Linked DNA regions of Ovis aries. The protein of the gene in region 2 purifies or fractionates together with the protein of the main gene of each other region. This does not show direct contact. Links are inferred from orthologs where the notes say so. Each region holds a gene or a part of one and is shown on either strand. Other genes may lie near its edges.

Region 1 (4,139 bases), on a different chromosome or scaffold from region 2:
GACCAACTACTCACAGTCTCCTAAAATGACATAGTAGATAGACATTAAATTTAAAAAACGAAAAAAACAAAAACCTGGCACATACTGCTTGTAGCTTATTTAAAGAGAATAATTCTAACTCTGGTGAAGTCGAACTAGCAGGGGACTTGAGAACCTTTGTTCAGATCCAGCTCCACCACTTCCATTCCATAGTTACTGTTTTGAGTAAGACACTTAACTTGCTTCTTCTCTGTTTTTAAGTCTTGCACCAGAGTTGTGAAAATGACATGATTGGCACATTTAAATCCTTCAGTGCTACTAGGCAAGTACGTGTGTATGCTAGGTAAATGGAACAACTGTGGAAGACGCCGAATTGTATGAACTAATGTCAACTTTTAAATATCTACTGGTACCAACGAAGGCGTATACAGTAAAACGACAAATAACATGCTTCGTTAGGCAGTTCACACCAATCTTTTAATTTTCTTAAAGACATTCTCCTTCCTATCCTGCATACATAGTTCAGGACAATTTTTTCAAGGTTTGCAGTCTATTTTACCCCATTCAAGGTTATTTCCTTAGATATTAAAATAAATGTCAAATAGAATTTGATGCTGTATTTTCAAAATATTTAGGGCTGTGAATTCCTCATAATACTAAATATAAGCCAAGGTGTTCCTTTTTTATCAGTTAACAATAGAATTCCTAGAACTTTAGAATACTTAAAACTTTCAAATCCAATATCGATGGTTAAAATTCTACTGCTCATCCAAACATTAGCAGACGGTCAAAATAATTGCTAACATACTTTAGATGCAGTACAATACGCATGACGTGGTTCTGTTCTAGCAAAATAAAATACATTAACAACCAATTAGTTAAAATATGAAATCTTCTGGAGATGAAAAATAATGACAATAACATCTGAAACATACCGTAACAATGAGTATCTTAAAGCCCCCAGAAAATGAAGCGCATTTTTGTCAGTCTCCACACTTTCTAAAAAGCTTTAGAAAACTACTACTAATCTCTTCAGAAATCTCGCCAAAACATGACTTTAAATACTATCACCTAAAATCACGGCTCTTGTTGAACCATTAGTGTACACAGATTTTAAAACGCATACTAACATGTTGTACCCTAAGACTGCATTTTGTTACCACTGCAACTCTCTTCGGCTCGGTAAAGTTACCTTAAACGACACCAACTCATTATTCTCTTACACAACGATGTATACAGTTTGAGAACTTTCTCCCCAGTTTGACCACCAACCAAATAAAGAGAGATTATTAAAATCATTTTGGAGACCAGGTTAAGGAAGATACGAGGAATTCTGGAAGCGCTAGTCAAATAGAAAAGAATAGTCTTTTTTTTAAGTAAAAGAAAAGTGATGGTTGGGGTCCCCCTCCCTGAACAAGGAAGTTCTCTTACATCCAGGCGAGACCAGCCATGTTGGAAAACACTTGTCAGTTACAGTTGTGACAAGTCTTCGCCAACATCGCCCGGGGAAGCTAACCTTGTGTACCGAGGTGTGTACATCAAGGCCCTCTTCGGCTCCGCCGGAGGTTCTGGGCCTACTTTGGGGATGGTTTCCGAGTTGGAGCCGTCCTTCGGTCCGAACGGAGCGCAGAGCCGAGGGGGAAAGAGGGCGGGGAAAGGAGAGTTGGGGGGAAAAGGGTTTTGAAGAGTTGGAAGCCGCTATCCGCAGCGAGAGGGGCGCGGCGGCAGGGAGAGGTTTCCGAGTTGAGAGCCGGGGGGGAGGGGGGAGGGGCCGAGGATTCGGGGAACAGGGGGGACTCTCAGCAGAAAAGTCCCCCTCGGAGGGGCCCAGGAGCGCCAGAGGAGGAAGGGAGGCGGAGGAACGCTTCGGAGCACTGACCTGTCCTCCGAGTCCATGCGGCTCAGGGGTTCCCCATCCGACGACATCTCCAAGCTGCCTCGCCGGCCCCCAGAGGTCGCGCTGCTTCCGCCTCCCCCGGTCCCGTAGCCCTCGTCGCCGCCGCTGGAGACGACGCTGCTGCTGCTGCTGCCGCCCCCGCCGCCGCCCTGGCTGCCCCGCGGTCCCTTGGGCTCCTCCAGGCCCTCCTTGCCGTCCCCATCCCCGCTGCTGCTGCTGGCGGCGCCGGGGCTCAGCGAGCGCGTCTCGTCGCTGCTGCTCCCGCCGCTGCTGCTGCCCACCAGGCTCTCGGCGCTGCTCTCCTCCTCGCCCCCGCCGCTGCTGCTCTCGTCCTCCTCCTCCTCCTCGTCGTCCTCCTCCTCGTCGTCGTCCTCCCCGGCCTGGCTGGCGCTCTCGGGGCTCGGCTCCGACATCGTCTCCGCCTCGCCGCCCCCCACTCCGCCGCCGCCCCCACCGCCGTTCAGCAGCAGCGCCGCCACCGCCTCGGCCTCCGCCTCCTCCTCCTCTTCTTCCTCCTCCTCCTCCTCGGGGGGCTCAGCCCGGCCCCGCGCCGCCGGCCCGGGGCTGCCGGGGGGCAGAGGGCTCAGGCGGGAGAGCTCCTCCAGGTCGGCCATGTCGGTGAGAGCGGCGGCCATGGCGGCGCCTGCTCCTCCTCCTCCTCCGGCTCCTCCGCCTCCCCGCCGCCGCCGCCGCCTCCCTCTCTCGACTCTCGCTCCCTCGTCCCCCTCCCAAACGCTCCAAACTCGGCCGACGCCGCGGCAGAGGGGGAGGAGGGCCCGCGAGCTGCGTCAGCCTGCACACGCGCTACGGAACCCGCGCGGGGACAGGCGCGCCACTGCGCGCACTCACGCGGAGACGGCTGCGCGCCTGCGCGGCGGCACGCGGTGGCGCCTCCCCTCGGCCGCCGGCTCCGCGCCCGCGCCCCCGGCCGCGCCCCCTCTGGGCCCCCGCCCCGGCCCGCCGGGACTCAGAGTTTCCGCGGGGCCTGCCCACGCCTTCCCCGGCCGCGCGGCGGGCGGAACACGCGGAACGAAAAGCTGGGCGCCGGGCGGGGATTCTAACAGCCCCCGCCCCGAGGGCTCACGATCGAGTCATTCATTCCGGGAGTGTTTGGGGAGCGTCCCCGGCGCGCGGGCGCTGAGCCAAGAATCGAACAAGTCCCTGGGCTCCTGAGAGCTGACAGTCTAAGAGGAGAGGCGAGGAAAATGAGTAAAAATGAATAATACAGTGCTAGGTACTGAATCCATACGCGCGACGCAGAGCCACAGGTTTTTATCTAACCTACGTTCGAATACCCCGAGGACTGGTTAAATCTCAGTCTGAGAGCAAACATCTGTGGGCAAGAGCTTCAAACTTTTTAGCTCCTGAGCCCTCTGAGACGATTTTGTACATCTTCGTACATCCACATGTTTAAAGTGACAACCACATTTTTTCCCAGCCTCATAATTTACGACTGTCACACTTTTGTAAATGTAGTCAACCAATGAATCCTAAATGCCATACGGATTTAATACCCACCAATATCTTTTAAAATACAGTCTCGTTTATACTTGGGCAATTTCCATCCTTTATCCTCTGGAGCTCATTTACATTTTACATCTCGCAGAATTTTATCCTAATATTTTATATTTGAACTGTTTTATTGTTCATCTTATATATTTCCTGTATACATCTTATATACACAAAAAAATGTGTATCGAAATTGAAATTCAAGGGTTGTTTCTAAATCTCCTGAGATCATAACACTCAACACTTGTTTCAACTGATCAAAACAAATATATTTCAAATATTTACAAATAGATACTAAACCCTCAAATTGGAATTTTGTTGACAATGCATCTTACAGAAATGAAATTGAATACTTTTTTAAAAGCTGTATTATTGATCAGTGGACGAGTATTTCTAGAATGAAAATGAGATGATTCCATTCAGTTACAAACTTTTAATTCCTTGAATGTAAGCACTGAAAAAACTTGTTCACATTAATAAGTACATGAGAATGAATGGAGTTTTGTCAGAGCAATGCAATTCGATTCTTTGAACTCTTTCTAAATTATATGTCCCCAAAAAAATCACATAAAGATCTAACAAGAAAAAAATACTTTTAATGATCTATCCGTTGACAACTCTGACTAGGTTCTCTTTCAACTTTGTCGAAAGCAAGTAATTGAACACCACCTGACTTGTAAAAAGATGTGTTACTCATTCTCATTCACCACTCGATTGTTCCTTTTTCTGGTGTCCGGGAGGATTTTGCATACCC
Region 2 (3,500 bases):
GCCCTGATTCTTGTACCTGTTCTGGAATAATTAGCTGCATGCTCTCAGCACATCCCTCATTTTCTCATCTACAGGAGAATGTATTCTCAAATTCCAGTCAGCTTGTGAGCAAATGAGTATAAGATACGACTCACTGGACAGTCAAAGATGCATAGAAACATCTGTGCATAATATATAAAGATTATATCTTTGTAAAGATTGTATTATAGGGCAGCTCTTTGTCAAGAGATAAGTGTGTAAGCTTTAAGATGTTTGTTAAGAAGCTATCACATGGTCATATATGGTACAGAGGAAAAAAAAAAGTGTCAAGTTGCAAGTCAGCACAGATATTGCAGATGGTTTGTGATGATGGGACCGATATGGTGGCCTGTTTCTGCTTCCTAACTGTAACATGACCTCTGCAGGAAGGAGCAAAGGAGTACGCCATGCTGCACAACCCTCGCTCCAAGTGCTCCGGGCGTCGCCGGCGAAGGCACCACGTGGTCAATGCTTCCTGCTCCAACACTTCAGCCTCTGCTGTGGCTGAGACCAAAGAAGGGGACAGTGACAGGGACACTGGCAATGACTGGGCCTCCAGTTCTTCAGGTACAGTGAGCAGAAAATGACCTCTTCTTGCTACACAAGGTAAACCCGGGATCATGCCGTAACAGTTAACATTACTACCTTTTTAAATTGTTCATTCTTTCCACAGGTTCACCTGTAAGCAGTAGAGACAGGGAATATTTTCGTTCCTAATTCTTCTACCTTTTGGTGTAGAATGAAGTGCTGAGTTTGTAGCAAACCACTGAGGCCAGCTGCATTCCACCTTCTGTGTTTCTCTCATTCCTTTCTCTCTTAGAGGCGAACTCTCGCTGTCAGACGCCCACGAAACAGAAGGCGAGTCCAGCCCCACCTCAGCTCTGTGTAGTGGAAGCACCCTCAGAGCCTGTGGAGTGGACTGGGGCTGAAGAATCTCTTTTTCGAGTCTTTCATGGCACCTACTTCAACAACTTCTGTTCAATAGCCAGACTTCTGGGGACTAAGACGTGTAAGCAGGTACTGCCTGAAGGGGACGGGAACAAGTCCTTGCCCCGGGAGCCCTTTGGTCACTTTGTAAGGCTGCCTGTCTGGACAGAAGCTGTCTTAGGTTCAGTCTTTCGTGAGCCTGTGCTTCTGGACCAGGAGGTGGATTCCCCAAACTTGGGGGGCTTTCTGCAAATACCAGGCCTAGCAATACTTAGGATCTGCTCTCCTTGCTGAATCCTTACTTCTGTCTCTAGCCACTATCTAACTCTTCTGGATGTTTCTACCCTCTCTTAGGTTTTTTCTTTTTTTTTTTTGGTGGTGGCAGTGGTGTTCTTGCCTTTCTTTCTAATGCATGCATACATGCTAAGTCGCTTCAGTTGTGTCCAACTCTGTGCAACCCAATGGACAGCAGCCCACCAGGCTCCTCTGTCCACAGGATTCTCCAGGCAAGAATACTGGAGTGGGTGGCTGTTTCCTTCTCCGTTTCTTTCTAAATGTGGACCCATTTCCTGGAAGGCACTCCTGGGTCCTTCTGGGGATCTTCTTTTCTCACACCCCTGCTCCTGCTTCTGTAGCTGCAGCTGCCACCACCCCCCAAGTCAGTCTTCTCAGTTGTTTATTCTTCAAATGTTCTATCATTAGATTTCCTAATTACCACCCCTAATGGCTGGGTCTGGACCTTGTGCATCTCACTTACATCATCACTAGAATCACCATCTGATAGCAGCTTCTGATGTTTTGGAGGCTGGAGAAGCCTACAGGGAGCAGACAAACTGAAGCACAGGGATAGGGAGTCAGGTATTGGGGCCAACTGGTCCAAACAGGAACACCAGAGCTTGAGCCCTCCTCGCTTAGCTCCTCACTTTCCAGAAGAGTCTGCAATCTTTTCTGCATGTACTCTCTATTTAGAACAAGTAGTAGAACCATGAGCTGAAGTGCCCTTTGCTTTCTTTTCTTTTTAAGTGAAAGAAGGTTTACTCAAGGGGAAAACACCATAGATGGAGTGTGAGCCATCTCAGAAGGCACGAGAGGCCGTTTTGGAGGAAGTAGAAATGAATAGCTTTATTGCTTTGCCAGGCAAAAGGAGACACAGCAGGCTCATGCCTTGAAAAAGGCGTGTCCCCTATTCCTTTTTTTTTTTTAATTTCATACCTATCTCCCCAAGGCACAGGTTTTTGATCTAAAAGCCTGCAAACTGTGTACAAAGCAATTTTTGTGTGTTATTTTCCTGAATATAAGATTCACAGTTTTCATGGAATTGCGAGAGGGCCTGTAACCGAAAAGAAAAAGCTAAGAAACAAATGTTCAAAGGGAAACAGCATGTTAAAAGGGACCAGGCCTTCGTGAAATGCTGTCCTGCTAAAATAATAGTCAAGGCTCTAACATCTTTATGCCAGCAGAGGGAGCTAGCGCTTAGCCGGGTGGTACTTCAGGTCACATCACTCAGTTACACAAGGTATACAACACTGCCCTTCCTGATAAGAAGCAGATACTGTTGGTAAGAATTGACTCCCTCTGGATTGGAAGGCAGAGCAGTAGATGAACGCGACTGACCAGAAAAACCGTACCTGTGCTCAGTCAGGATAAACACTTAAGAATTAACTTCAGGGACTTCCCTGGTGATGCAGTGGTTAAGACTCCTTGTTCCCAATGCCGGGGGTATGGGTTCAATCCCTCGTCAGGGAACAGGGAACTAAGGTCCTGCACATCACATGGCATACCCAAAAACAAATCAAGACCAAAAACACAACCAGAAACAAAGAGCTTCAGAAACAGCAACCTGGTGTCCCGGTGCTTCTCTGTCTGTGCCTGCTAAAGACGCTCAGACATCTGCCCACAAGCTCTCCAGAAACCAGCACCTGGCTACGTCACTTATCTGACCCCTCAGCTCAAGAGGTAACAGGTCCTGTTGGATTTCTCTTCCAGGTCTTCCAGTTTGCAGTCAAAGAGTCACTTATCCTGAAGCTGCCCACAGATGAGCTTATGAACCCCTCACAGAAGAAGAAGAGAAAGCACAGGCAAGGCTTGGACCAAAGGCTTTCTGTGGCCAGACCGTTCCCTGTTCCCTGACCTCCCCTAGGGCTTCGCTGCTGCCTCCCTTTGCAGCCACTGCCCATCAGTTCAGCATCACCCAGTGGAGGGCCAGTCTCCTCAGTGCTCCCTGCGAGTCTGTGTCTTGAATCAGCCCTTCCCTTGTCCCGCAGTGCTGTGGACCATGAAATAACTGATTTTTAAGCTCCCGGCCAGCAGGATGTGAACTGGCCTCGTGGCTCCATCCTGAGGCCGTTTCTTCTCGCTGGGTTGTTATTACCACTGTGCTCACTTCTCAACTCTGACCAGAGTTTTGTTGTTCTGTTTTTGGCACTTGTATCTCTAAGTTGCATAATAACACTGTCTTCTAGCTAACCTTTGCTTAGGGTTGGAAGGTGTTTTTTTTGCAGCCAATACTCCATCTGGCTTTGTTCCGTAAAAAACTGACACTGGTTCCAGATATA

What was found.
Region 1: the proteins of EZH1 (region 2) and AEBP2 purify together in Homo sapiens (affinity purification with mass spectrometry; 3 studies listed by BioGRID and IntAct, with this or other methods). This does not show direct contact. The link is inferred for Ovis aries from reciprocal best matches to the Homo sapiens genes EZH1 and AEBP2.

Annotation. Positions count from the first base shown.
Region 1 is NC_056056.1:196,107,775-196,111,913, forward strand, and holds the start of AEBP2 (zinc finger protein AEBP2), read right to left. Parts: upstream 2,801-4,139; 5' UTR 2,512-2,800; coding exon 1,859-2,511; exon of another isoform or gene 1,519-1,858; coding exon of another isoform or gene 1,496-1,518; intron 1-1,495. UniProt on the Homo sapiens protein: Acts as an accessory subunit for the core Polycomb repressive complex 2 (PRC2), which mediates histone H3K27 (H3K27me3) trimethylation on chromatin leading to transcriptional repression of the affected target gene.
Region 2 is NC_056064.1:42,498,522-42,502,021, reverse strand, and holds part of EZH1 (histone-lysine N-methyltransferase EZH1), read left to right. Parts: intron 1-404; coding exon 405-585; intron 586-838; coding exon 839-1,035; intron 1,036-2,931; coding exon 2,932-3,023; intron 3,024-3,500.